4 linked regions of the Tamandua tetradactyla genome follow. The protein of the gene in region 4 binds, or shares a complex with, the protein of the main gene of each other region. Links are inferred from orthologs where the notes say so. Each region holds a gene or a part of one and is shown on either strand. Other genes may lie near its edges. The genes, in order: NUP205, NUP188, NUP160 and E3 SUMO-protein ligase RanBP2.

Region 1 (6,928 bases), on a different chromosome or scaffold from region 4:
AATAGACTGTGCTGTCCCAGTTGGGTGGACTTGGCAACCTTGTGAAAAATCGATTGACCCAGGGATGAGTCTGGTCCTGGCACCGTGGGATCAGTAATGCCATCCAGAAAAGGGGGAAAAGAAGTGGAATAAATGAGATATCTGTGGCTGAGAGAGTTCCAATAGAGTTGATAGGCTACTCTGGATGTCACTGTTATGCAAGCTTCATTTAGATATTGCTACCCACCATACCTTACCAAACCAAAACTATTCCGGCCAATCCTAAAGAACACCTAGGGTGTTATATAAGATACTACAAAGGCCCCATGCACTAGGGTAACTTTTCGAGACCTACAATCTCCAGATGGTCCCTGGACCAGATAAATCCTGAAACACAGAGGGGCCAGCCTCTCCAAAGCATCATCTCGTTCCATCCCCCTAACCCATATTATTGACAGCCCCTTACAACATGAAAAAGTTAGAATGAGCATAACGCAAATACCCATAAAGAGTGGGAGAAAGATTAAAGGCAATGGTGGAGTTATACAGAGAAGGTAGGGTTTAACAAAAGAGTATGATTGCTGAGGGGCCAATCTCTCCAGAACACCAGCTAGTTTTATCTCCTTATCCCATATTATCGATACCCTATTCCAACATGAAAAAGTTAGAATGGGCATAGCCCCAATACCCCTCAAGAATGGGAGAAGAATCAAAGGCTATGGTAGAGGTATACAGAGAAGGTAGGGTTTAACAAAAGAGTGCAATTGCTGAATCATTACGTTGACATTTCCAGTATCTTAGAGCGGCTAGAAGTAAAAACCTAAAATTGTGGAATCGTAACCCACACCAGATTCTGAAATCTGTTCTACAACTAATTGTTGTGCTATGTTTGACATTTATTTCTTTTTTGTATATATGTTATTTTTCACAAAAAAGAAAAAAAATACTTCTAGCCTCCAGTCTTTTGGAGCAACTACAAGGAAAAATCTGAAATAGTGGAATGGTAATCCATAACAAAGTCTGAAATCTGTTCTGTAACTACTTGTTGAAGTGTACTTTGAAAAAAAAAGTCAATTGGCCATGATACATGTATTTATTTCTGAGCTCTCTTCTATTCCATTGATAAATATGTCTATCCTTATGCCATTGAACTTTTTTTATTACTGTGAAAAAATCAATTCATGTTAGATCTTAAGGTTTATTTCTAAACTCTCAAATCAATTCCATTGGTCAATGTCTATCTTTATGCCAATACCATGCTATTTTATCACTTTATAAAGCTTTGCAAAGTGCTTTAAGTTGGGAAATGAGAGTACTCCAACTTCATTTTTCATCTCAAGGGGTAAGGGGCTCCTTACCCTTTCAAATAAATTTGGGAGTTAGATTTTCCAATTCTATATGTAGGACTTTGGAATTCTGATTGGAGTTGCATTGTGTCTGTAAGTCAATTTGGGTGGAATCTTAACAATATTTAGTTTTCCAAATCCATGAACATCTATTTAGATCTTTGATTTCTTTTAGCAATGCTTTGTAGTTTTTTGAATACTTATCTTGTACATCCTTGTTTATTTCTAGATATTTGATTCTTTTGGTTGCCATTGTAAATTGATTTTTCCCCCTATTTTTCTCCTCAGATTGTTCATTACTAGTGTATAGAGCACTACTGATTTTTTCATGTTAATCTTATATCCCTTGCTGAACTAATTTATTAGGTCTGGTAGCTTTGTTGTAGATTTTTGGGGACGTTCTAGGTATAGCATCATATATTCTACAAATAGTGAAAATTTTATTTCCTCATTTCCAATTTAGATGCCTTTTATTTCTTTTTCTTGACTAATTTCTCTAGTTAGAACTTCGAGTACAATATTGAATAACAGTGGTGACAGTAGACATGCTTATCTTTTTCTTGATCTTAGTGGGAAAGCTTTCAATCTTTCACTATTGAGTATGACATTAGCTGTGGGCATTTCAAATGTGCCCTTTATCATGTTAAGAGAGTTTTCTTCTATTCCTATTTTTCAAAGTGTTTTTATGAAGAAGGGATTCTGGTTTTTTGTCAAACACTTTTAGTGCATCAATCAATACGATCATGTGGTTCTTCTTCAATTTTTAAATGTTATTTATTACATTGATTAATTTTCTTGTGTTGAACCACCCTTACACACCTGAGATAAAGCTCTCTTTATCATGGTGTATAATTATTATAATGTGCAATTGGATTTGAATTGCAAGTATTTTGTTGAGGATTTTTGCACCCATGTCATTAGGGAGAATGGTCTGTAATTTTCCTTCTTATTTTTTTTTTTTATCTGGCTTTGATATTAGGATGGTATTGCTTCCATAGTATGAGTTAGGTAGCATTCCCTCCTCCTTCAGTTATCTACGAGTTTGAGTAAGACTCCAACTGATTTTTGACATGTGTGCTATTTCCACTCAGTCAGGAAAGAATGATCTCTTCCACAAATGGTAATGGGGAAATGGGATATCCATGTGTAAAGAATGAAAACTGGATATCTACATTCAAAAATTAGCTCAAAATGTATCACAGATATAAATATGCTAACCAAAACTATAAAACAGTAGGAGAAAACATAGGGAAGCATCTTCAGGACCTTGTGTTAGGCAGTGGTATCTTAGTCTTTACCTGAAAGGAATGAGCAACAAAAGAAAATATAGATAAATTGGAATTCATCAAAATTAATTTTTTGCGGTATCAAAGAATTTTTTCATGACAGTGAAAAGACAACCTAGAGAATGCAAGAAAATACTTGAAAATCACATATCTGCTAAGGGCTTAATATGCAGTATATATAAAGAAATCCTACAATTCAATAACAAAAACACAATCCAGTTAAAAACTGGGCAAAAGATTTTTATTGCTATTTCTCCAAAGATGATATACAAATGGCTGGTAAGCACAAGAAAATATGGTCAACATCATTAGCCATTAGGGGAATGCAAATCTAAACCACAATGAGATACCATTTCATTCCCAGTATATTGGCAACATTGGTGACATTGTAATAGGGTGCAGTCTCTGTGGAGGATAGTTTGGCAGTTCCTTAGAAAGTTAAGTGTGAATTAGCATATGACCTGACAATTCCAGTTCTAGGTATAGACCCAAAAGAACTGGAAGGGGGGGACTCAAATGGTATTTGTACACCCCTATTCATAGCGGCATTATTCACAATTGCCAAAAGATGGAAGTAACCCTAGGGTCCATCAATTTAAGAATGGACAAACAAAATGTGCTATATGTGTACAATGGAACCTTGTTCAGCCATAAAAAGGGATGAAGTTCTTATACATGTTACAAAGTGGATGAATGTTGAAAACATCATATTTAGTGAAAAAAGCCAGATTCAATATAAAAAAAATTGTACGAGCTCACTTATATATAAACTATGAACTATAGTTAATTGTATAATTATAATAATATTGTTTCATCAAGTTTAACAGAATGCCACACTAATGCTAAGTCTTAATTATAGAGAAAACTATGTGTGCATGAGGGGCAGGAGTGGGTTGTGTATGGAACTGTAGTTTTTGCATTTTTCTGTAAACCTACAACCTCTCTAGTAAAAAAAGTTATGATTTGTTTCACTCCATGCAATTATGTTGATGCAGTATACTTTGTATATTGAAATGTGCTGAAAATCCTGTTTGTAACAGGTCAAATGACTTTTAGAAGTATTGAAACCTCATACCCAACTCCACGTCCCAAGGTAACGGAGCTATGCAAAGAAGATTTAACATAAAATTTAGATAATTTTATTTGATTTCATGGATTTTATAATATCATAAATATGCGTTATTTCAACAACTTGTCTTTGGAAACCTTTTCTTCCAGTGTACATAACGCACTTGACGCATCATTAGGAAGAAATTACAGGTCCCAGGATGCACTGCACGAATACGTCAAGTTGAGGACCTTGCATTTCCGACGTGGTTGCCTTTGCCCTATGTGAATGGGAACAATTCCGGTGAAAAATTGCTGCTTGTGGCTCAAAGCATATTTTTCAGTTTTTCATACTCCCGCGTAAGCCCAGCGCGCTGTTTAGAGATGGCAGTGCGGGGCCTTTATTTTCAGGCGCCTCGTCGGGCAGCCTCACCCTTTCTGGGGCCTCCGAGCGACAGGAGGGCTTCGTTAGTGCGCCTCCAAGATGGCGACGCTGTTGGCGGTAAATTCGGGTAAGTGTGGCCGGGGTAGAAGGAAAACGGAGAGGCAGGGCGGTGATCGTTTGTTTGTGGAATAACCTGGGCTATGAGGTTCCTTGGTATCCAGACATCCCACTTGTACTCGGTGTATATTTTTCCCTAGCTCTAGGCCTAGGGGCCCGCCCCTCCTGTTTGAATGGCGCGCGTAGGCGCTGCGGCTCTATCCTTTGGGTTGGGGTTTGAGGGTCGGGGCAATGAGAAGTGGTACCTAGGAACAGTGTTGCAATCTCACGGCCCAGGACCGCCTGGGTCCTCCCATCCCCACTTATATTCCCACGTCGTGAGGTGCCTGTGGCCCGGATTTCGCCATAATATATGTCGAGTCTTCAACAGTGAGGTCAGAGGACCCGGGATAGTTTTCAGTCACCAGCGGAGGCTGAGCAAATTCGAATCTCCAATCTATAAAGAAGTACCGGAGTTCCCAGGCGAAGGTGCCTAGGCAATGGTTGTCGCGGGCTCAGCAGATGATTCCGAGATCCGCGGCTGTGATCCGACAGTAGATGTTCAGTACTTTTGGGACAGTAGGTCTTCGGGGCTAAAGTAGATGGCGGTAATGCAGATTGTAAGAGGTGGAAAAAGAACGCTAGGTGATTTGGGATGGGGCCTCTTTTGGTGATTCTCGACCCGGGGCGGTGCCACCCCACAAGGGCGTTTTAAAGAGGGGGTGCATTTTGACTGTCACAATTCCTGGGTTGCTTTACTGGCATTTAGTGGGCGGGTCAAGGATGCTTCAAGTCTCGCACCGGGCAGGACTGTTATGGAAACGAGTTTCCTGCACAGAATGTCAGTAACACCCGGGTTGAGCCGCACTTAGCTTTATTGTGCACAGTTTAAGAGAATGTTTGCGTGAAAAATCCTTGTGCAGAATCTCACCGAAAAGGACTCCTTCGTGGGCACCTTTTCTTTCTGTCTCTGTACACTTTTTTTTAATGGTTTATTCTGCTTTCACAAACTGTTATTCCTGAAAGGTTGTCTAAATCTAAGTTGCAAATCAAACTATTTAAGAAATACTGACACGTTATTTTGTAATAATGAAGGCTTATATTTATTGAGCACTTTTGTCCCAGGCAGTGGAATAAATATTGTACTTGCACTAGTTCACTTAATGCAAGTATAATCCCTTTTGTACTTGTGAGGTAGCTGCTAATAAATGCCCCAATTGGAAATAGAAATTTAGAGCAGTAACTCCCACAAGATTGTGTAACTAATGATCCTAAACCAATCTTACCTGCTTAAATAACTGCGTACTACTAATTATAACCGGATTCATTTTATTAATCCAATTTTCATACATTTCAATGTTAATAATGAACTTAGCTCCTTAATATTGCTGTCCCTTCCCTCAACTTGATATAACCTTTTTTTCCCTCTGTTACTATTTTAATGCAATTTTATTGAGATATGTTCACACACCACACACTCCATCTGAAGTATACAATCGTCATTGTATCTTACTTTTTTTTTTTAAAATATTTTTACTGAGATAGCTTCACACACCATACAGTCCACAAATGTAAACTTAAAAGTAAGGCTTGTATGTTATGTATGTGATTAGAAACATTTTTTGAGTAAGTACTTATCCCAAGTTAGTATCACTATATCCAAATCATTGAAGCAAAAGTAAAAAAGGAAAAGAAGTTGCTAACAGCTGCAAAGAGTATACATTGTATAATAAAGCCTTGCCCTCTCTCTTCTCTCAAAAGACAAGCCACTACTCACTGACTTTTTTTCTTCAACCCACGAGGGTTCTGTTCTGTTTTCCTAAGTTAAAATTAACATGCTCTTCCATTTCACTAAATCCAGCAGACATTTTCAAGCTCCATCTTGACCAAAATCATGGCCTGAGAGACTGAATAGTGTGGCAGTTGCCTGTTTTGCTAAACCTTTGTTTTCTGCACTCCAGCTCTCTTCTCCTGAGACCTTTTCAGTTCAGTGCAGTGTTCCCTGTTGTCGTGGAACCCACACATTCTGGCTTCCAGAAATGCATGTCCTCAGATCCCATCCCTCAGTTAACTTCCACTTTTATCCTTGGAATTTCAGGCTACTCATTGCTCGTCAAGGAAGCTTTCCCTTCTCTGACCTTCCTGACTAGATCAAATCCTGATTTCAGACTACTCATTGCTCCTCAAGGAAACTTTCCCTTCTCCGACCTTCCTGACTAGATCAAATCCTGTTAAGTGATCTCATGCCCTGGATACCTCTACTTCATAGCACTTGCCACAGCTGAATTTTGCAATTATATGTGATTATATAATTAATGTGTTTTCTCACTAGATTTGAAAGCTTACAGTATTTAATACATGATGAATGAGTGAATAAATGGTAACTTGTTGGAAGGCTCTCTCAAAACTTAAGGAAAATAAATGTATTTCTAAAATGAGCAAATCACTTATGTTAAAAACATATCTTTGGTGGCTCACTGGTAGAATGCTTGCCTTTCATGTGGGAGACCTGGGTTTGATTCCTGAACCATGCACCCAAAACAAACAAACAAACAAACAAACAAACAAACAAAACCACATCTTCATGGGGAAACTGTATAAGGTGGAGGATATATGGAAACTGTATTACGTATTCAATTTTTCTGTAACTCTAAAACTGTTCCAAAAAATAAAGTCTATTAATAAAAGATAAAACCCCCCACATCTTCGGTAATCTGAAAAAGTATATAGCCTCCTTTCATTTGTAGTCAATAACAGATATTGACTAAAATTAGCCAAGTTGAAGATAA
Region 2 (7,433 bases), on a different chromosome or scaffold from region 4:
ATTTATAAACCTAAATATATTTATATATTTATTTATAAACCTGATTTAACAAAAAATAAAGGAGGAGGAGAAAGGCTTTATTTAAAATGAAATACATTTTCTACCTACCAAGGATAGCTTCTGGGTTTGCACAAAAACTAATTAGACAACTACCACATGACCCTCATACCTAATAAAGTGATTAACAGTATATCAAAATTAATGGCAAGAAGTTCATAGAGACAGACAGAATATGCAAATTCATAGAGACAGAAAATGGATTAAAGGGTATCAGTGACAGGGCTGAGGGGCTGAGGATGGGGAGTTAATGCTTAATGGGTACAGAGTATGCTTGGGACAATGGAAAGGATTTGGTAATAGGTGGGGACACCAATAAATCTAAGAACTTCATTAGCTTAGTGTCAGGTATAACAAAGGATATTAAACACACATTATATAACCAGCAGAAGGGAAGATGGCACTAAAGGGTGTGATACTAACTGGAGTCTACAAAGGAACATAGTTGTATAGAACAGAGTTAAAGAAGAACGAGCACACTGGGGACTGATCCAGATCAACAAAAGGTTTCACCTCAAATTGGAACCTGAAGGTTTGAGCAGGTGATCCTCAAAAAACATAACAGATACAGCCGGAACGTAGAGCTGTGATGTCTAATCCAAAGCTACAAGGGCTTCTATCTATATTTTCAGGAATTTAAACATGTGCTGCAGCGTCTCTCATTTATTTGCATAATATATACTAAGTATCTGGAAAAAAAACTAAGGCACAGAATTAAATAACATGCCTCAAATTCAAAGGTAAATTTAAAAAAATTTACAGACTTTCAGTACATAAACAGACAAAATAGAATTCTATTTTTGCAAGAGTTGGCAATAAGCAGACTGGAAAATTATATTCCTTAGAGAGATCCATCTGGCGGAAAAGCTCTGTGAAAGCTACTGGAAGTTAGGAATAACAGTTTCTACAATTCAGTCCTTTTGGTTGGAAGCTGAGACACAGCCAAGCTACTCTGATAGCTCTTTTGAGGAATACACTTAAACTCCACCTGGAAATAACAGAAGTTGCCACTGCCCATGGATGCTCTGACTCCACAGATGAGATACAACCTTCTGAGATTTAAGCTTAGAAGCAAAAGCTTTTCAAATTGAGTTCTATTTTTCTTTAGTACACCTACACCACTTAGACTTCTACAAAACTCATTAACTGAAAAGAACAAGAGAGTCAAGAAAAAAATGACAATATTCAAAATGACACTCTGCCAATTCCAAAGTGGCCTTCCCCCCAAATTTTAAGAGTATCACTCCATTTCTGACTAGTGCCAGCTTGTATTAACCATACGCAATGACTTTCCTACAAGAACATGTTTCTGAGATACCTCAGTACTCCTCTGGAATGGATTCAAATTTAGAGATCTGGAGTCATCTGCAAATTGGCAGACACCAGGAACAGAATTTGTTTTCTCACAGTCCTGATTTCTAGATATTCCAAACAGGGGAGAACTGTATCACTCTTTTTAATATTTCAGTATAATCCCAACTGGTTGATCATGACTTCTGGCACAAAAACAAAGATCATTCTCCATGAGCAAAGTGATGCCTAGAAACACTACTGTCATTTATTCCATTTTTGGGTTTGATTTTTGGTAGGTTTCCCAGTATGATCAGGGAACTCTTTCAAGCAAACCAAAGCTTTCCTTCTCTTTGTCCTCTCTCATTAAGAACATGCCTTCCCCTACAGGTGCTGAACTTCTACCAAGCTCAGAAATGACTATGAAAAAGGCCTAAGAAAAGGAGGGCACAGTGGTCACAATGCTGCCTAATATAATGCTGACATGAAAAGGCAGGGTAGAAATAGGCAAACGGATCTTCACAAATTATAGACATAGTCTAATGGAAATTGCAAAGAACAAAATTTCACTTCCAAATGAGGGGGTGAAAGAAACAATATCAGAGAAGATGGGCGACATCGGTACTAAATATTTACTGAAAAACTATTATATATTGTTCTAAGTGCTAGGGATACAGCAGTAAACAAGACAAATAAAAAAGGGGGGGGGGGGCAGGGACACTACAGGCACAATAGGTAACAGGGATGGAAGACATTCCAAGCTGTTGTGTGGATGATAGGGGTGTGGTGGTTTGGTTTATGGCCTTATGGCATTAGAGTTGACAGACTTGGGTTTAAATCCTCATTTTACCACAGTCAGCTCTGAGCGCTGGGCTTCTGAGTCATCTGTAAAGCAGAAGATGCCTGACAGCATTGTGAGAATTCAACGAGATATGCATATAAAACGCTTCGCCAGAGTCTGGCATTGTTAAGTACTCTATAGGTGAGAACTATATCATTCGTTTTAATATTTCATCTTCTTGTTCCCAAAACCTAGCATAGTGCCTGGAATCCAAGCATGTACGCTGACCAAAAAAAACAGTGGGACGAAATTAAGTCAGCGCAGAAATGAGGGTGGAAAATGCAGGGAGGTAGCTCGGCGCCACACCAAACATACTTCCTAATGAGAGCACATGGGAGAACGTGGGGACGGGAAAGGCCCAGCCGTCAGCGAGGCAGGCCACAGGGACTCGGCCGCGGGGGTGAGGTGGGAGATTCCTCAAGGCGACCGCGAAGCGCTCCGTCGTGCCTCAAAGAAGCGTCACGGCCGGACGAGGAAGCGCAGGTGGTGTGCCAAGGGACTTGGCCCGCGAAGAGAGAAGAGGAAGGCGAGGAGGCTTAGGTGAGAAGACGGAAGGCCCGGCGCTAAGAGAAGGGGTGAAAACCCGGCCCTCCTCTTGAAGAAGTCCCCTCAGGTCCCCGCGCGGGGGACCGTTTGGACGTAACTGCCTCTCGTCTCGGCGCCCGTCCACCCAGCTGGCCTTCACTCCACTAAAGTCACCACATTCCGCACCAAACTCCCGCCCTGCTCCTGCTTGGACCCTGCACCGCCCAACCACCCGCGCCGGCTCTGCCTGCTCCGCACCTCACACACAGCCCGCCGGCGGCCGCCGCCATCTTCGCGCGCGCGCGCCCCAGCCCCGCCTCCAGACGCTGCGCCGACGCGTTCACTCGCTTCCAGGCTGGGTGCGTGGGGTGGTGCTTTCTGTCACGTGAAGGCGACACCGGGCGGAGCCAAAATGGCGATACTCCGGTGGTGAGGATTCTGCGGTGAGCGTGGAAGAGGTTGTGAGGAAGGCGGCCGAGCGGCTATTTTTACGCCTCAGGTTGGAGGCGGTGGACTGTGACTGGGCACCAGCTCCCAGGCTGCAGAGAGTGACCTGCTGTGGAGCTTCCTTCCTCGCAGCTCGTGAACAGAGGAAAAAGGTTGCTTGCTGGGTGAAGTTGCCTCCCTCTACTTGGCGGGGCAGACGGGTCCGGAGTGCAAGGCATCCTTAGTCACTTCGGCTTATCTGGGGCTTCAAGTCTAGGAACATGACCCGAGATTGCGCTCCTCCGGCCCCCGGAACCGGGGCTCCGCTGAGCGGGTCGGTGCTGGCGGAAGCGGCAGTGGTGTTCGCCATGGTGCTGAGCATCCATGCTGCGGTGTGGGACCGCTATTCGTGGTGCGCTGTGGCCCTCGCAGTGCAGGCCTTCTATGTCCAATACAAGTGGGACCGGCTGCTACAGCAGGGAAGCGCCGTTTTCCAATTCCGAATGTCTGCCAACAGTGGCCTACTTCCTGCCTCCATGATCATGCCTTTGCTTGGACTGGTCATGAAGGAGCGTTGCCATGCTGCGGGGAACCCATACTTCGAGCGCTTTGGTATTGTGGTGGCAACCACTGGCATGGCTGTGGCCCTCTTCTCCTCAGTGTTGGCACTGGGCATCACTCGCCCAGTTCCTACCAACACTTGTGTCGTCTCTGGCTTGGCTGGAGGTGTCATCATTTATATCATGAAGCACTCGCTTAGCGTGAGCGAGGTCATTGAGGTCCTGGAGGTCCTACTGATCTTTGTTTACCTCAATATGATTCTGCTGTACCTGCTACCCCGCTGCTTCACCCCTGGTGAGGCACTGCTGGTGTTGGGCGGCATCAGCTTTGTGCTCAACCAACTCATCAAGCGCTCTCTTACCGTGGTGGAGAACCAGGGAGATCCAGTAGACTTCTTCCTGCTAGTGGTGGTGGTAGGAATGGTTCTCATGGGCATCTTCTTCAGCACTCTCTTTGTCTTCATGGACTCAGGCACCTGGGCCTCCTCCATCTTCTTTCATCTCATGACCTGCGTCCTGGGCCTTGGAGTGGTTTTACCTTGGCTACATCGGCTCATCCACAGGAACCCTCTGCACTGGCTCCTTCAATTCCTCTTCCAGACAGATACCCGCATCTACCTCCTAGTCTACTGGTCTCTCCTGGCCACCTTGGCCTGCCTGGTGGTGCTGTACCAGAATGCCAAGCGGTCATCTTCTGAGTCCAAGAAGCACCAGGCCCCCTCCATCACCCGAAAGTATTTCCATTTCATTGTGGTAGCCACCTATATCCCAGGTATCATCTTTGACCGGCCACTGCTCTATGTGGCTGCCACTGTATGCCTGGCAGTCTTCATCTTCCTGGAGTATGTGCGCTACTTCCGCATCAAGCCCCTAGGTCACACTCTGCGGACCCTCCTTTCCCTCTTCCTAGATGAACGAGACAGCGGACCACTCATCCTGACACACATCTACCTGCTCCTGGGCATGTCTCTTCCCATTTGGCTGGTCCCCAGACCCTGTACACAGAAGGGTAGTCTTGGGGGAGCAAGGGCCTTAGTCCCCTACGCTGGTGTCTTAGCCGTAGGTGTGGGCGATACTGTGGCCTCTGTCTTTGGCAGCACCATGGGAGAAATCCGCTGGCCTGGAACCAAAAAGACTTTCGAGGGAACCATGACATCCATATTTGCCCAAATCATTTCTGTGGCTCTTATCTTAATTTTTGACAGTGGAGTGGACCTAAACTACAGTTATGCTTGGATTTTGGGGTCCATCAGCACTGTGTCCCTTCTAGAAGCATACACTACACAGATAGACAATCTCCTTTTGCCTCTCTACCTCCTGATATTGCTGATGGCCTAGTTGCTGTGCAGCAGCAGTAATAAAGGAAACAGAGACATGAGGAGGATGAATGGCCCCCACAGCACCCAGCCTCTTAGGCAAGAAGAGCCAAGGGGTGAAAAGAAGATTTGCTTTTTCAGTTGATTCAGATTTAAAATAAAAATCAGAGTTCTCCAGGTTTTAGTTTTCTGATGTTTTAAAAGAAAACAGGCTTAAATGATACTGAATCAGCTCAAAGAATTTGAGTATGCTATAGAATCCCCTTCTCTCACCTCATAGTTCTCAGGGAGGACCAGAGTGAACACTGGACGCAGTAGAACATAATGGTTGACACTTAAGATCCTGGTGTCAAACTACTCTGGTTAGAATCCTCGGCTGCACTACTTATTAACTGTGTGACCTTTGATGAGTCACATAGTCACTCTGAGCCTCAACTCCATCTACAAGATGGGAATAATTGTTTATAGGGGTATTGTGAGGATCCAATGAGATGTGTATGAAGTATCTAGCCCAGGCCTAGGCAACGAGCAATAAGTAAGGGAAAGTGTCATTATTGCCCAAGACCAGTCCTCATCTTAGCAAAAAAGCATTGCAAGCCAAGAAATTTGTCTTGTACTTGGAGATCAGAGTGAACTTTACTCCTATGGCTTCATTTAGAGGAGGAGAAGGCATGTGGTATCTCCCAGTTGGATTTGGAAGAGCTGAAGGGGAGAGGTGGGATAGGTTTGGGGCATAGTATAAAAGAGCTGGAGGAAGAGGATCAGGTCCTGAGCTAATGTCCTGTTTAAGCCAGCCCCACCCATCTACCTCCCACTTCCGAGGTCTCTGCTGCCTGGCTAGGTGTGCTGATGGAGAAAAATGGGCTGGACAGTACAGGGTCCTTATCAAGATGTCCCTCCTTAGACCCTCTCACCCTCCGGTCACGTCCAAGTCTGTTTCTTCCCTGACAACAAATTAGAGCCTAGGACAGGTCCATAAGGGCTGCAGGAGTTTCCATAGCTCTACTCTGAACACCTCTGCCTAAACAAGGGACCCATGCTTCAGCCTTGCTCTTGGGAGAACAGGGTCTGGGCCTGCCTGATTCCCCTATAGAGCCTGGCACATAGCTGAACTTGGTAGACATTTGCTGAGTGGATGAACATTTCCCATCAATGGGAAAATAACAGCTGGTTACATGAAACTAAACAAGTTTCTCCCTTCTCACCTAGCCTAGCAAGGAGCCTAGCAGGAAGAGGTGATAACTTTGGCCTGCCAAGGCCAGAAACCAAGAGCAAAGCCCAGGAGCTGTTACCGGCACCTTATGCTTCTGCCTGGAAATTACTACCAAGTTCCTTTCCTTCAGAGGAGATTATTGAGACCTTCCTTTGTGCCCCAAAGGAGACTCAACAAACCTGATCCTTCTCTCAGTTCCCTATTACTGCTTGCCAAAGAAGGCAGCAAAATGTTGGGGAAAGAGCCCCAGCTTTGCCCCACTGGCCTTGGGAAAGGGCTCTTTTCTTGGCCTTGGTGTGTCCAGTGGTGGGTTAGACTAATCAGGGTCACACATATGCCTGCAGAGACCAGGTAGGTAATGCAGATAAATGAGGACTGAGAAAATACGAACTCTGCTGGACCAGAGAACACATGCCTCTAAGGAGGCAGCTCCAGCCAATAGATGCCATGCTAGAATGTAGGCCCTAGGTTGTCAAACTTCCCCTGTTCAAAAACCCTGGTAGAGCTCCCAATTTAAAAAAGTTTTGTTAAAAACAAATCTGCAGTCTAGATTCAGCCAGTATCCCCCAGTTTGCAACTGGGCCAGACCCCAGCTTATTAGGTTTTGGGATTGGCAGTTGTTCCCACTGAGGATTTGGGTGCCTGCCCAGCACATCCTAGTCTGCCCCCCTTATCATATAGATGGGGAAACAAGCCCAGAGACGGGAAGGGATTGGTCTCCTTCCTACCTCCCCAAGCAGGGAGGATTGGGTAGTGTAGCTCTTGGGAGTGCAGGCTCTGGAGCATTCTGAACAATTGAATGGCTGACTTCAGCAGGTCACTTAACTTCTCCAGGCCTCAGGTCCTTGATTTGTAAGTACAAATGCTAAGAGCAAGGAATTCAGAGATAGGTGTGAGAAGCCAATGAGCGGTAAAACAAAGAAAACTCTTAGCACAGAGCTGGGCTCACTGTGAGTGCCCAGTAAATGTGACGTTATTAAAATCATATAGTGTGTTCCAGGCCAGGCCGGGGTACCTGGGATGATTTGCAGGAGGGCTGTCAAGACAGCAAGGCTGCTTAAGAAAGAAAGAAACAAGCTGCATTTGTAATTCATTTTTATTGTGTCTTGCAGTGTACAAATCAGAGTTCTACCTTAGAAGAGATAAGAGTGAGAAGCCGAAGAGAGGTGACCAGAACCCTTTCATGGTTCTGGGAGAGGTGGTAT
Region 3 (7,235 bases), on a different chromosome or scaffold from region 4:
TCTCTACTTCTCTTCTGAACCCACTCCGCTCAGGCATCTGCCCCACCAGTCTACTGGAGCAGTTTCTGCCAAGGCTACCAATGACTTCCACAAGGCAAAGGTCAATTTTCATTTCTCATCCTACCCAAATCAAATGTGGTGTTTGACAATTTTTTTGCTCTCCTCCTTGAAACACTTTCCTTAAGATTATGAGACAACACTCTTTCACCTCACTGGCTATTCCTCCTCAGTCTTCTTCACTAGTTCCCCATTCCTGAATGCTGGAGTGCCCTGGGGCTCAGTCCTCATACTTCTCTTCCCTCATCTACACAAGTGACACTCAGCTGGGATAATTTTCCTCCCTTCCCTCCCCACCAAGGACATTTAGCAATATCTGGGGACAATGCTGCTACACCGGGGGCGAAAGCAGGAAGAAGCTTGGCGGCCCGCAGCGGTCAAAGGCTGGGGAGGCTGCTCAGTATCCTGCGGCATCCCCTCTGACAAGGAATGACCTGGCCCCAAGTGCTGACCGTGCTGGGATGAGAAACCTCAGGTGATCTCATTCAATATACAACAAGCTTAGATGCCATTTCATGCCAACGATCCCCCAAACTGTATCTTCCACCCATCCTGTCCACTGAGCGCCTGACTACTGTCTGAAGATCTCCACTTGGAAAGACATAGCAAACTAAACTCACCCAAAACCGAATTCCTGCATATCAAGCTCAAAAAACCAAAAATATCTGTTTTTCTGCACTATTTCCCATCTGAGTTAATGGCATCTCACAACTTCCAAATGTTCAAGCCAAAAATCTTGGGGTCACCCTTAACTCTTCTCTTTCCATATACTCTACATCTGATTCATTAGTAAATTGTAATAAATTCACCTGGAAAGCATATCCACAATCAGACCATTTCTCACTACTTCCATCCTTTCCCCACTACATTCTATTGCTAATACAGTGGCCACAGTGATCAAGGTTTTAAAACACAACTTAGATCATGTCATTCTTTACTTAAAATGCTCTAATGGCTTCTTCCCATCTCATCCAGAGTAAAAAGCCTAAGACTTAAATAAGTGACAAAGCTCTGATCTGGCCCTGGGATATCTCTCTCATTGTTCTACTATTCATTCAGACTCCTGACACCCTGCTATTCTTCTGAACACGACAAGCTCCCTTCTCACAGTTCTTTGCATTTTTTTGTTTCTTCTGAGAATACTCTACCTGAAATGCTCCTCCCTTGGTATCCTCACTTTCTCTGCTCAAATAGTCTACCGACTTCTGAGTTCTGCCTTACCATTCTATGTAAAACAGTAATTCCTGTAAGCATTTCCCTTTCCTCTTGACTTGCTTCCTTGTTCTCTATTCCATTTACTGTCACCTGACAAGTTCATTTACTTTTTTTGTTGTTGTTGTTTTTTTACCTGTCTCCCTCCATGAGTGTGGAGAATTTTTGTCTGTTCTGTTACCCCTATATTCCCAGTTCCTAACTGTAGACTGGAACATAGCAGGCACGCAAAAATATTTCTTAAATAAACGAATTCATATTTCTAATACAGGTCTCTCTTCTGAGTCTCAAGTCTGTAAATTCCAATACCTACCAGATATTTCCAAGGGCTGCAGCACTGGTACCTCAACTTTAGTATGTCCAAAAGAATTTCTCTCCAAACAAGTCTCTGTATCTCAGTAAATGACACTCCCACCCCTCACTTCCTGTTAGTCACATCAGAACACCTGGGTTTTTGTCTCTGTTCCCTCCTTTTCCCTTACCCCTCCCAACTCCATATTCAATTTGTCACCAAGTCTGAGTAAATCTAACTTCTAAATGTATCTGGAATCCATTTATTCTGTTTTCTAGCCACTACCACAATCTGAACCACAGCATCTCTTCCTTGGACCATTGTAAAAGGAAAGTGTTCTTGTGTAACAGTCCCACTCAATCCAAGTTCATTTTCCAGACATTGAGACCAACTGCTTAAAAATGCAAATCTGATTGTGTTAAAAACTCTTTAAAAACACTTTTTTAATGACTGCTCGATGTACTTAGGATAAAATCCAAAATCCTTAGAATGGCCTGACATATAGAAGTTCAACAAGTGTTCGAAAAATGAAGGAAGCTGTCAAGTGCTATGAAAACAATGGAACAAGTAAGCTTTCCTTATTGAGAAGCAGAAAGTCCTTGTGAAAGTGTGGAAGGCACAGAAACATAGTTAGCTAAATTAAAAAAAATAAAGCGTTGCTCGATTATAAAAAGAAATAAAACACCACCACAGTAAGTTCATGCTTAAATCCTGGTCTTCAGGGATTTATCCCTAAGCTCCATTCCCTCTGCTTTAGACTGGGGTGGGGATGGGATTTCACGCCTAGAATTCTGGGCCACTCTAATTTTTCTCCTGATTCGGAAATGAATTGCAAACAGTCTTTCTACTTTGCCAGATGTCGATTACTGCTTCGCAGAATGACGGAAGAGCCAGGAAAATCCAAACTCCGAATAACCGTACCTTCTAGAAGGGTGGACGAGACAACACTTACCAATGAATGAATCTGTTTCTAGTGATGGAGAATAACTTGCCGCTTTCCACATAGTAGAAACCTCCCGCGCTCTCGCTGAATTTCACCGCTCCCGCCACGGCATTTACGGTCCCTGGAAAAGGAGGGTGGTCAGTGCGCACACGAGGTTCTCGGGGGATGACAGGGGCTAAGTGCGCCGAGGGAGCACAGAGTGACGGGCTGACAATCCACACAAAGGGAAGGGAAAAGGAGGAAGAAGCCGGACACTGGGGAAGATCCGATCCAAGGGCCAGCAGAATGTGGACTGAGAAGATGAACCCGGCGAGGTGGACAGAGACCCGGGGAACCGTCGGAAGGCCGCGCGCTCTCTGGGACCGCTTCCGTACCAACGCTGCAGACCGTAAATTCCCGAAAATGCCTCTGCCTCTCGCGCTCAGCTCCCACTATCTCCACGAAGCTCCGTTCCAGGGCTCCCGCCGCCGCCATCTTCCCGCGCCGCCGCGAGGCCCGACGGGACACGGCAGGGCCAGGTGGTCTGCGTACTTCCGGGGTGGGGCTAGCGGGGCTGCCGGCAGAGGCGAGGGCCGCCCGCCGCTTCCTTGAAGGCTTCCACAGAGTTGCCAGGAGACTGCAAGGTGGGCAGAGAGGAAGCGCCTCTGTCTGCAGGAACCAACGAGTGGCCGGCTAAGGTGCCTCAGGCGGGCTTCGCCCTTTTCCCGGCGGCCTTAGCGCGCTGCGAGGCGGGGCCTCGCGGGCGCGGTCCTGTGCGTGGTCTGGCGCCCTCTGCGGGTCTAGCGCCCTCAGCCGGTCGGGCGGCCGCCGCCTCCGTAGGTCTGTCAGTCTCCCTTCGCCTGTCAGGGCGGTATTGGAGGTGACAAGGGACCTTCTGTGTTGTATTGGATTTTCTCACGCGACTGTGTTCGTTTTTTCTTGAATAATGACACTCGATGTGTTAAATGAGAAGTTGGTGCCGCGACCTGCTCAAGTTTCGTTACGGAACCCCCAAAAGAGGAGCCGGGCTCTCGTCCCGGCTGTCGAAGCCGTGGGCCCGATTCTGGGCAGAGCGCCGTCTGGGTGCCGAGGACCATGCGCGTTTTCAAGGCGGGAGTTTCTTTCTTCACGAAGCCGGGCTTTGCTAAGGTTTCCGCGACCCTCGCCTGCCGTTCTGTGTGGCATCCGCCATCACTCAGCGAGGCAGCCCCTGAACCGCCTGCCCTCCGTGGCTGCCTCCTCCTTTTCACCGTCCTGCGTTTCCCTGAAAGTTTCTTGCGCCTGCTTAAATTCCATTAGGTTACCCCCTGGCTCGCTCTGTTCACGATGCTTTAGTTGAAAACCTACAACTTCGATGAAATCCAAATCTGCCTTTGACCAGGGCTGGAGAAAAAGTAGACGCCCTTAGGACGTGCCTCGCTCTGACTGCGTGAGGCGCCTCGTGTTCCGTGTCCGCTATTTCCTCAGCGTCCTGGAGGAGTATTTCATAGCTCTCTAACCCCAGCACCTCTTCCCTGGCCTCGCTTAGAAGGTGGACGCAAACGGGAATTCCCGGAGGGTTCTTCCCCGCTGCCGCATCTCCCCACCGGGCCGCACCTGCGCTCGTGGGGCTGCCTTGCCCGTCCTGCTGCTGCAGGTGGAATCTGGTGAGACACTCTCGCTGCCTTTCACTGCATCGCCACGTGCCTGCGGTCCTTCCTCTCTCCTACCGCTTGGTTTTTCCCTTTTCACTGGATTGGTCCTTTATGCATGCAAACTTGCCGTTATTCCCCCCCCCCCCCCCATAAAGAAAGCCCTTATTCGTCTCATTCTTTTCAGCTTCGACTGCACATCTCCGCTGCTCCCTGCATTTACAGCAAAGTTCAAGAGCGTTCTATCCAATTCCTGTCTTCCTGTTCTCGCTTAAACCTGCTTTTTTAAGGCTTTGGCTGTTACTGCTCTCTGAAACTGCATTTTGGAAGATCATCAGAGACATTCACGTTATATATCTATAATGGAATTCTCATTTCTAAACTTTACTTGACCACCTGCAGTATTTGACCAATTGACTGCTCCTTCCTCCTGGAAATACTTTCTTCACTTGGCTTTTAGGACACCCCATTATCTTGGTTTCCTCCTGCTTCACCAACTTTTCTTTTTTAGACTTTTTTTTTTGCTAGTTTCTCCTCTTCTCCTAACCTCTTAATTTTGGAGTACCCAGAACTCTGTTTTTTTTTTTTTTCTTGCATTTTTTTTATTGTGAAGTATAACATATACAGAAAAGTGATAAATTTCAAAGTTTAGAGTAAGTTTCAAAGTGTGGTGTGGGTTACAGTTCCACAATTTCAGATATCCCCTTCTAGCTTTTCTAATACACTAGAAACTAACAAGAAACATCAGTATAGTGATTCAGTAGTCACAGTGATTTGCAGATACTATCTTCTCTGTTACAAATCCTCCCTCTCATTTGATCCTTTTCCCAATCTTCAGGGATATTTGGGCAAGGACTGTTTCTAACTACTTTGCATTGAAGAGAGATGTGCTGGTTTGAATCTGTGGTGTACCCCAGAAAAGCCTTTAATCCTCATTCAATATTGCTGGCTGGGAGCTTTTTTATTGTTCTCATGGAGATGTGACTCACCCAATTGTGGGTATTAATTTTTTGGTTAGAGAGAGATGTGACTCCACCCATTCCAGGTGGGCCTTGACTGAAATCTTTTAAAAGAGGAAACATTTTGGAGAGACTCCCTTTTAGAGCAACGAAAATAATGAGAGCCAGAGTTCACGCTGCCATTTGGAGATGAAGAAGGAATATATCCCTGGGGGGAGCTTCATGAAACAAGAAGGCTGAAGAGAAAGCTAGCAGAGGGCACCATGTTTGCCACGTGCCTTTCCAGTTGACAGAGAAACCCTGAACTTCACCAGCCTTTCTTGAGTGAAGGTAACCACTTGTTGGTACCATTATTTGCACATTTTTATAGACTTGCTTTAATTGGGACATTTTCATGGACTTAGAACTGTAAACTAGCAGCTTATTAAATTCCCCTTTTTAAAAGCCATTCTGTTTTTGGTATATTGCATTCTGGCAGCTAGCAAACTAGAAAAAGTGCCAACAGAGATGTGTAGAGAAGCCGTATGAAACCAGGACTCAGACACTTGAAGAAAAGAAATCTTTGGCCCCAGACGATACTAAATTATGACATGAAACCCATAGTTTTGCCCCAGAGAAGCTAAGTGAGGGACACACAGATGCTTGGAGAGAAAGCCGCTGGAATCAGAAGATGGAAGCAATGAAACAAGAGCAAGGACCTTGGATGCCTGCCACATGCATTCCCACTGATGCAGGACAGATATCAACCTTTCTTCAGAGTTGAGGTATCTTTCTCTGGATGCCTTAGGTTGGACATTTTTAAGGCCTTAGAACTGTGAACTTGTAACTTAATAAATCCCCTTAGAAGTCAGTCTATTTCTGGTATATTGCATTCCGGCAGCTTTAGCAATCTAGAACAAACTCTTAGGCATATTTATAGGTAGGCTTAGCCTCTCATTACAGATAAAAGTTTCATAAGAAAAAGCCTCAAGATCAAGGGCTTGACCTATGACTTGGGAGTCCCTAATATTTGAGATAGTATCAGGTGTTTCCCAGATAAGGAAGTTTAACAGTTCCATATTTTTTCTCCAGTCCCTCTAGGGATTTTGCCACTACTTTTCGGCTATTTACCCAACATACTCTGGAATGTATTAGGGTACTACTTTAAGCTATACAGAATTACAAGATTGCATTGCCACTTCTAGGGTCCATATGTTTAGGTTGTTTAAATGAACTGGCCAAACAGGTTAAGTTAGATTGTGTGCTACATAAAATTTAAGTTGTGGACAAAATAAGCATCTCTTCCTTTGGTCAGATACAGTAGGTGGAGTTTTAAAATATAGCAATATCATTGTCATGGTTAGGGACAGGTGTCAACTTGGCCAAGTTGTGGTTCATCTGATTGGGCAAGCACTGGCCTGCCTGTTGCAATGAGGACATTTCATAGGATTAGGTCATGATCACGTCAGCTACATCCACAGCTGATTCCATTTGTAATCAGCCAAAGGGGAGTGTCTTCTGCAATTAGTGATGCTAAATCCAATCATGGGAAGCCTTTTAAGGAGGACTCAGAGGAGACAGGTGGCATTCCTGCTTTGGCTGGTGAGCCTCTCCTGTGGAGTTCATCCAGGCCATCCATTGGAGTCATCGGCTTCGCAGCCTGCCCTGTGGATTTTGGACTCTGCATTCCTACGGTCACGTGAGACACTTTCATAAATTTTATATTTGCAAGTGTTCCCTGTTGATTCTGTTTCTCTAGAGAACCCTAACTAATACATCTTGGTACCAGGAGTGGTTCTTAAGGAACAGAATCTTAAAAATGGGTTTTTATGAATGGTTTTCTACTCTGACTGGGCTCAGAGACACTAAGGACTCTGATTCCCGTAATCAGAATGACACACCCAATCCATGGACTGAGTTGGCAAAGGAGATAGTCAAAATATCATCATTCGATTCTCCTAATGCTTCGCTTGTACGAAGCCAGACTCTGGGGGATAATGTTTTTGACACCTTTACAGAGTTTTGTAGAAATAAGAGTTATAGAGATGTTGGTTGGTTGTTGTTAGATACACTGTCTACATTAAAGGAAGAAAGGGATGGGCTTAAGGCTTCAAACAAGAAGCTTAAGTGCCGTCTGAAAGATTTAGAGGTTTCTATGAGTATCCTGAAGGAAAATTTTATTT
Region 4 (7,055 bases):
CCTACAGGAGCTAAAAGGCAAATGCATAAAATGTCATGAGAAATCAGCAGTTTGGACTCATAAAGGCGGGGGGACTGAGAAGTATAGTAACATAGTGTACACTAATGGAGTTAAGTTGGTATCTAAGCAAACAAGATTATTATAGATTTTCTATGTTAAATTTAAGTCCTGTGGCAACTACAAAAAAAGTATCAGAGAACATGAAAATTCACACAGCCAGAAATTAGAATACAGGTTGCCAGGGTGGGAGATAAATGGAATGGGAGTTGATGCACAATAGGTTAAGGGCTTCTGTTTAGAGAGATGGGAAAGTTTTAGTAACGTAATGCGGTAAAGGCACTGCAATAATGTGAATGTGATTAATCCTAGCCAATGTTCAAATGTGACAAAATTTAAAATTGGTGGGTAAGAGTATCTGGGAAATAGGAGTATATCAGAGTTCCCTTTATGGAGTTCGTATTATTTATGTTAACTGTTCTCTTAGGTTTGAAAGTATTTAAAAATAAAAAGTTAAAAAAAAAAAAAAGGATACTCTTCAAGGGTAAGAGATATGTGACCACAATAATAAATCCTTAAAACTGTGCACCACCCTTATTTTATTTGATGAAAAAGTCAGGTAGCTGAAAGAACATTCCCTATGTCATTCTAACTTCTGTCTAGACTAGTCATTCTTTTGGGAGCCAGGGTCCCCATAGATAATCTGATCAATGCTCTAAATCTGCTTTAAAAAAAAAAATCATATTCATCCACAGCTGCGAATCTCCCTGGCAATGTGGGATATGACTCCCAGGGATGAGCCTGGCCCTGGATGGTGGAATGGACAATGCCTTTCTGACCAAAAGGGCTTAAATGTAACAAAATAAAATAGCAGTGGATAAGAGGGTTCAAACAGAGCCCAGAGACATTCTGCAGACTACTCTTATGCAAGCTTCAGCTAGGTATTGCTAATTACCAAGATGTGCCAAGCCCCAACCAACATCATTCCTGTTAAGCCTAAAGAACACCCAGGGCTCTATCTGAGATCCTACAAAAGTTGCACACAGTAAGTTTACTTTTCAGAAATCTAAAAACTTCGTATGGTTCCTTGGTCAGATAAATTCTGAAACCCAGAGATGCCATTTCTCCAAGAACATCAACCCATTACATCCCCCATCCCACGCTGTCGACACCCCTTTTCAAGACGAAAAAAGTTAGAATGGCATAACCCAAATACCCCTAAACATTGGGGGGAGAAGGATCAAAGGAGGAGTTATAACAGAAAAGTTAGAATTTAACAAATGAGTATGACTATGAATCATTATATTGCTATTTCTTTCTAGTCTCCAATGTCTTGGAGCAGCTAGAAGGAAAAACCTGAAGTCGTGGAACTGTAACTCATAACAAACTTTGAAATCTGTTCTATAACTGTTAAAATATACTTTGAAATTTATTGTTTTGTATATACATTATATTTCAAAATAAAAAATGTTTAAAAAGCAAGTCACATCACTCTAAGGGTACAAAAACCCTTAAGATTCTTCTACACTCTACTACCACACTTACATTTATGTCTACGTAAGCAGTTGAAATAATCTGTAGAGAGGTACTTATTTCTCCCCTCCTGAGGAACAGGATATAACGTAATCCACTGTTCCTAAATTAAAATAAACCTGGCCCATGTCAAAATCCTGCAGTCACCTATGAAACCTTACACAAGTACCTCCTGATATGCATCTGCAGTTGTTGGGACACTAAACAAGAAAAATATCTGGGATGTAGAATAAGATTATATTGCTATTATAATCAATCATTCATGCGTTTTCTTGTTTTTTTTAAAACTCCTTTCAACATTAACAATAAAAATAAATTCCAGCAAACACGTAATTAGCCCTTCTATGCACAAGCACTAACATGCATCACCCTATCTTATCCTATCAATGCTGCACCTCCACCTTATTAAGAGAAAACAGTTTAACTTGTCCCAAATCCAGGTAAAATGACTCCAGATCTTGTGCAAGCCCACATGTAATACCTTTTTCCTCACTCTCCACATCCAATCACTAAAGTTCTGCCGAATCCAAAATATATTTAGCACATTATTTACCTTAAAAGAAGAAAAATACCGTAAAAGCACGTTAAGGAAATGGGTTAAAATTTTTAACCAGAGTAAGTAACAACGTCCTATTAGAAATTTAGAATTCGCGAGGAACGTGTGTGTGTGTGTGTTTGTGTGTGTAGAGTGGCAAAAAAAAAAGACGCTTCCAGAGAGTCCTGGTGGGGAGGGGGGGACAACAGAAGGAGGGTCAGGACCCTTATAAATACAGCGCCGGACGCCTCAAGCCAGGGGAATTCAGTCTCATTTGCGCTGTGTGTCAAGCACTTGCAAATGTGGCTTTCCATGCTCCGTTCCGTTAGGTGACTACGACGATCACCTGTCTCAGTAGTAAATGCCCACCCTCAAACTGCGTCAGTACTGGGTTCCACTTCCAAGCATGGGAGTGGTGGAGGACGCGCGGGCCATAAACGGTGCGCGAGCTGCCGAGAAACCCGAGCCTGGTGGGCCCGCCAGATAGGTCGGTCGGGAGCCGACCAGGAAGAAGAGGAAGCTCTGATGCCAACGGCCGCTCGCTGGCCGCTGGGCCCCGCGCGCGCGGTTCCCGAGCCCTGCGCCCCTCCCACACGCGCCTCCCCCGCCCCGCACGCTCTCGAGCGCCACGCAACCCACGGGACCGCGCTGGCCGGCTAGCGCCTCAACGGAACGAGGTAAGCAGCAGCCGGCAGGGAGCCATTAGGCCGGCGCCAGTGCCGGGCATCGGGGCCTCCGCTGGCCCAGGGCCAGATCCACCCCTCTCTTGAGCACTCACTCACCTCTCGGGGCGACGGAACGGAGCCCTGCACGGAGGCGATGTACCGCTCCACGTCGGCCTTGCTGCGCCTCATTGCGCCGACGTCCGAGCTCCCGGTACGCGGAAGGCCGACACTGGGGCCCACAGCGACCGGCAGGCTCAAGGAGCAAAGCGCCTAAAAGCCGTGACGCAGCGCCGTCGCCGACTGAAGAGCGGCATGACGTACGTGCGTGTTGCATCAGCACTGTGCGCCACGCCGACGACGGTGGCGCGTTGGGGCGGTGCGCCTCGCCGGCTCCCCCCACCACGCACTGCCCGAGTCGCGTCTGGTTTCTGGGGTTTTGTCCGGAGTTGGTGCAGTTACGCCACTTCCCGGTGTTCTTTGCTCACCGCCCTCTAAAACCGGTTGCAGGTTTGGGCTTTCTCCGCCAGGGCTTCCTGAGGATGAGGAACAGGAAAAACATTCAATACCACAAATGAGTCAAGGAATATTAACCAAATTGAAATATCAATTTACCAAAGGTCTTTTTTAACGTTTTGTCCCTTTCTTCTTAATTACACATTTGTGTGGAAGGAAAAAGCACTCATACCATTTTGGTGAACCTTTCAATTGGAGCAGTCTTTTGTGTTGGACACCTGTGTATCCGAAGCATACAGTTTTTAAAAGCTTGAGAAATTTTGTAGGTGTGTGATTGAAAGGTAGGCCTCGAATACTTTGTTTTAGACGATGTTGATTTTTGTTGAAAACTTTATAAAAAGCCCTAAAATTTATGCATATTTCATTAGAACAGGGTACATAAAAATTTCAAGATGTTAACGTCATCTGTATATTTCAAATCGTCAATAGTGTGTACTTTTGGAATTTGAATTTTTAAATTTTAGATCAAAGCCGGCGTTTTCAGGGGTGAAGACATTTTTACGCTTCGAGCATGTCTGTGTACACCGTGGGGTCTTGAGTTTGTGGGAAAATATCAAACAGGAAATATGTTCACATTTATAACAAGATTTGGCATGGGTAATTTTTATTCTTATGGTTTTTCCATATTTTCCAAGGTTTCTATAACGAACAAGTATTACCTTTTATAAAGATGGAAAAATAGCATTTCGTTTTGTTTTGTTTCGATCATATTGAATGCATATGAGGGAAAAGGAAAAGATTGCTGGGAGGCTTCTAGACTGACTGAGGTGCATTAAGAATAGTATAAACTAGAATCTGGTTTGGAATGGAAGATGGTATTTTAAGTAATTGATTCATTTCAGTTGAGATATCAGTTATATATATCCTGTTGAAGATGCCTGGTAGGTAGAAGAAATGGTAGGTCAAAGATTCAGGGTGGACTTGGTACCTGGCTTGGAGCTCATGAGCCTCAGGTGACAGTTAAAAGCATGAATTTGCCTTGGAAAGTGTTAGTAAGAACACCCATAGCTAACAACTAAGCACTGTGTTCCATGCCCTTTTCGTAGCGCTTCATATGTATTAGTTTATTTAATCCCCCCAACCGCTTTGTGAGCGGCACTACTATACATTATCATCCTCAGTTTAACAAATTAGGAAGCCAAAGGAGTGAGCAGGAAAGCAACTTGCCGAGCACCCTTTCCAAGTAAAATAAGAACGATTAATCTGCTTAAAATACTGAAAAGAAGTTGACCAAAGAGGGAACCTTCTTGAGGAACTCAAATGCTTTCCTTGAGTAGGTTTATTAAGCTTCAAAACCCAATTTCATCAAGTATGAGTCTGTTCTTCTGGGCTTTAGAAATAGGCACTCTTCTTCATGATGTCTGTTCCTTCCTCAACATAGACCAGTTCCATCCAAACCTGTTCTGACACAGAATTATCCTTTCCCCCAAGTCACACACCTGGTTGTAATGTTCTCTCTTAACTGCTCCTTTAGTCATTTTGATGCTGTGCATCAATTTGAATGAAGCATGAATCCATAAAAACCTGACTTAGGACATTTTTCAGCAGCAGCAGTTTTACCTGATTAATCTCCTGATGACTTCTGAATTAACATTGAGCTAATAATCATCCAATATTGGTGCTGATCGAACTTAGGAGTTTTTCCTTCTCCTTAAGCACCTCTACCTTGTTGCTGGTTACCATCCATTGCATAGACACAGTATCTTTCATGTATCACATGATTCCTTTCTTCTTCAGCTCATTCATACTGTCAATTTGTCCTGTCGTTTTCTCAGCACTCCAAATTTGTATGATCATATAGGAATCCTTAACTACTGCTTACTATAATGCACTTTTCAATGCTCTCATGGCTTTTGAACTTAGAATTGATGAGGTTAAAAATGTTCACAAAAAAATCTCAAAAACAAAAGGAACCAAATGACTGCAAATTACTACTGACAATTATGTACTTGCACATAATTAACTTGTTTTCATTTTAAACTTTTGCTTTGACTGCATCTCTGAAATTAGAAGCTCCTACACATTCTGCTCTTGATATCCATACCATCTAAACTGCTTTATGTACAGAAGGGGCCTTTTCACACATAAATTGAGGAAGGATTTGGAACTATCACAGGATAGCACAATGCTGCCTGAAACCATATGGGGAAAAATTTGTACAAAATCATGAATTAGGGGATATATGTGTATATATCTGTATGATATACCTTTGTTAGTATGTATTTGTGGGAAATGGAATCCCCTCTATCAGTGCTAACAGAAATATAATATGACCTAATACGTAATTAAAATGTTCTAGTAGCCACATTTAAAAAAGTAAAAGGGAACAGGAGAAATTAATTTTAATCTTTTTTCAACCTAATATATTCAAAATGTAATTTCAACATATAATTGATATAAACACATTATCCATGAGCTATTTTACATTCTTTTTTTGTACTAAGCCTTTAAGATTTGATGTGCATTTTACATTTGCAGGACATCTCAAATCAGACACTAAACTTTCATAAGAAATGCTTGATCTGTATTTCTATTTCATAAAATTTAGGGTTGAAAAAATAGATTCACATACCCAAGTTGTTCTAAACATACTTCAATGTTTTCCAATAGCTTAATCAAATATCATTTTGTAAAATTTTAATTTTAATTAAAATTTAAACTCTTCACCCTTGGTTCCTAAAAGTTCACTTTTGAAAAAAAATGGTGCAGGCAAAATCCAGACTGCCCATGGTTAAGGATAGATTAAGTGGTAAGGAAATGGACGTACAAAGTTTTGGTTACTTTTCTAATAGAACTTACCTTGGTGTCTTTGGTAAAATATCATGTAGAAAAATTGTCCCTTTTTTGGGCAGATAGTTCTATGACTATTAAGACATGTATAGATTTATGTGTCCACTACCACAGTCAGGAATCAGGACAGCTCTGTCATCCCCCCAAAACTCATTCATGTAATCCCTTTGTAGTCATACTCTCCATTCACCCCTTAACACTGGTCATTTCTCCACACTGTAGTTTTGTCTTTTCAACTTTTCAAGAATGTCATAAAAATGGAATAGAATCATATTTAACCTTTTGAGAGTGGCATCTTTTACTCAGCATAATACCTTTGAAATCTCTACAAATTGTTGCATTGTATCAGTAATCTTTTTTTGTGGACCTACCACAGTTTTGTTACCCATTTTCCAGTTGCAAGACATTTGGGTTGTTACCACTTTTTGTTGATTATGCCTAGAGTTGCTATGAACACTTACCATCTATACGTTTCTCAACAAGCACAGATGTTCATTTCTCTAGGGTAAGAGTCAGCATATGGCCTGTGGGCTGGCCACCTGCTTTTACAATGCAGTGACAGGAGTTGAGTAATTGTGACAGAGAACTATGGCCAGCAAACCTAAGACATTTACTATCTGACCCTTAAAAGAAAAATTTTGCTAATCCTTGTTCTAGAATAAAAACCCAGGAGTGGGATTGTTGGGTACCATTGTGGGTATATGTTGAACTTTATAAGAAATTGCCAAACTGTTTTCCAGAGTGGCTGAATCTTGTTTGCATTCCTGTCAGCAATGCATGAGAGCTCTGCATCCTCACCATCACTTGGGTATACTCAGTATTTTTTATTTAATTCATTCTAAAAGGTGTGTAATGGATCTCATCCTGGTTTCATTTTAGCCCTTAAAATGTTAGACATCTTTTCCTGTGCATATTTTCCATTCATTTATCCTTTTTGTAACCTGAGTTTTAGTTTAGTTGTTGCCCATTTTTCAGTCAGGTTGTTTTCTTATTGTTGAGTTCTGATAGTACTTTATGTAGTC

What was found.
Region 1: E3 SUMO-protein ligase RanBP2 (region 4) and NUP205 share a complex: the UniProt entries of both Homo sapiens proteins name them as parts of the nuclear pore complex. The link is inferred for Tamandua tetradactyla from reciprocal best matches to the Homo sapiens genes RANBP2 and NUP205.
Region 2: E3 SUMO-protein ligase RanBP2 (region 4) and NUP188 share a complex: the UniProt entries of both Homo sapiens proteins name them as parts of the nuclear pore complex. The link is inferred for Tamandua tetradactyla from reciprocal best matches to the Homo sapiens genes RANBP2 and NUP188.
Region 3: E3 SUMO-protein ligase RanBP2 (region 4) and NUP160 share a complex: the UniProt entries of both Homo sapiens proteins name them as parts of the nuclear pore complex. The link is inferred for Tamandua tetradactyla from reciprocal best matches to the Homo sapiens genes RANBP2 and NUP160.

What each region holds. Positions count from the first base shown.
Region 1 is NC_135327.1:178,270,875-178,277,802, forward strand, and holds the start of NUP205 (nuclear pore complex protein Nup205), read left to right. Parts: upstream 1-3,918; 5' UTR 3,919-4,142; coding exon 4,143-4,170; intron 4,171-6,928. UniProt on the Homo sapiens protein: Plays a role in the nuclear pore complex (NPC) assembly and/or maintenance. May anchor NUP62 and other nucleoporins, but not NUP153 and TPR, to the NPC.
Region 2 is NC_135328.1:51,772,230-51,779,662, reverse strand, and holds the start of NUP188 (nucleoporin NUP188), read right to left. Parts: upstream 3,022-7,433; 5' UTR 3,004-3,021; coding exon 2,972-3,003; intron 1-2,971. Other genes in the region: DOLK (dolichol kinase), read left to right, coding at 3,421-5,037. UniProt on the Homo sapiens protein: Component of the nuclear pore complex (NPC), a complex required for the trafficking across the nuclear envelope. Required for proper protein transport into the nucleus.
Region 3 is NC_135334.1:124,603,001-124,610,235, forward strand, and holds the start of NUP160 (nuclear pore complex protein Nup160), read right to left. Parts: upstream 3,022-7,235; 5' UTR 2,979-3,021; coding exon 2,879-2,978; intron 2,626-2,878; coding exon 2,514-2,625; intron 1-2,513. UniProt on the Homo sapiens protein: Functions as a component of the nuclear pore complex (NPC). Involved in poly(A)+ RNA transport.
Region 4 is NC_135343.1:73,417,385-73,424,439, reverse strand, and holds the start of E3 SUMO-protein ligase RanBP2, read right to left. Parts: upstream 3,025-7,055; 5' UTR 2,920-3,024; coding exon 2,848-2,919; intron 2,743-2,847; exon of another isoform or gene 2,667-2,742; intron 1-2,666. UniProt on the Homo sapiens protein: E3 SUMO-protein ligase which facilitates SUMO1 and SUMO2 conjugation by UBE2I. Involved in transport factor (Ran-GTP, karyopherin)-mediated protein import via the F-G repeat-containing domain which acts as a docking site for substrates.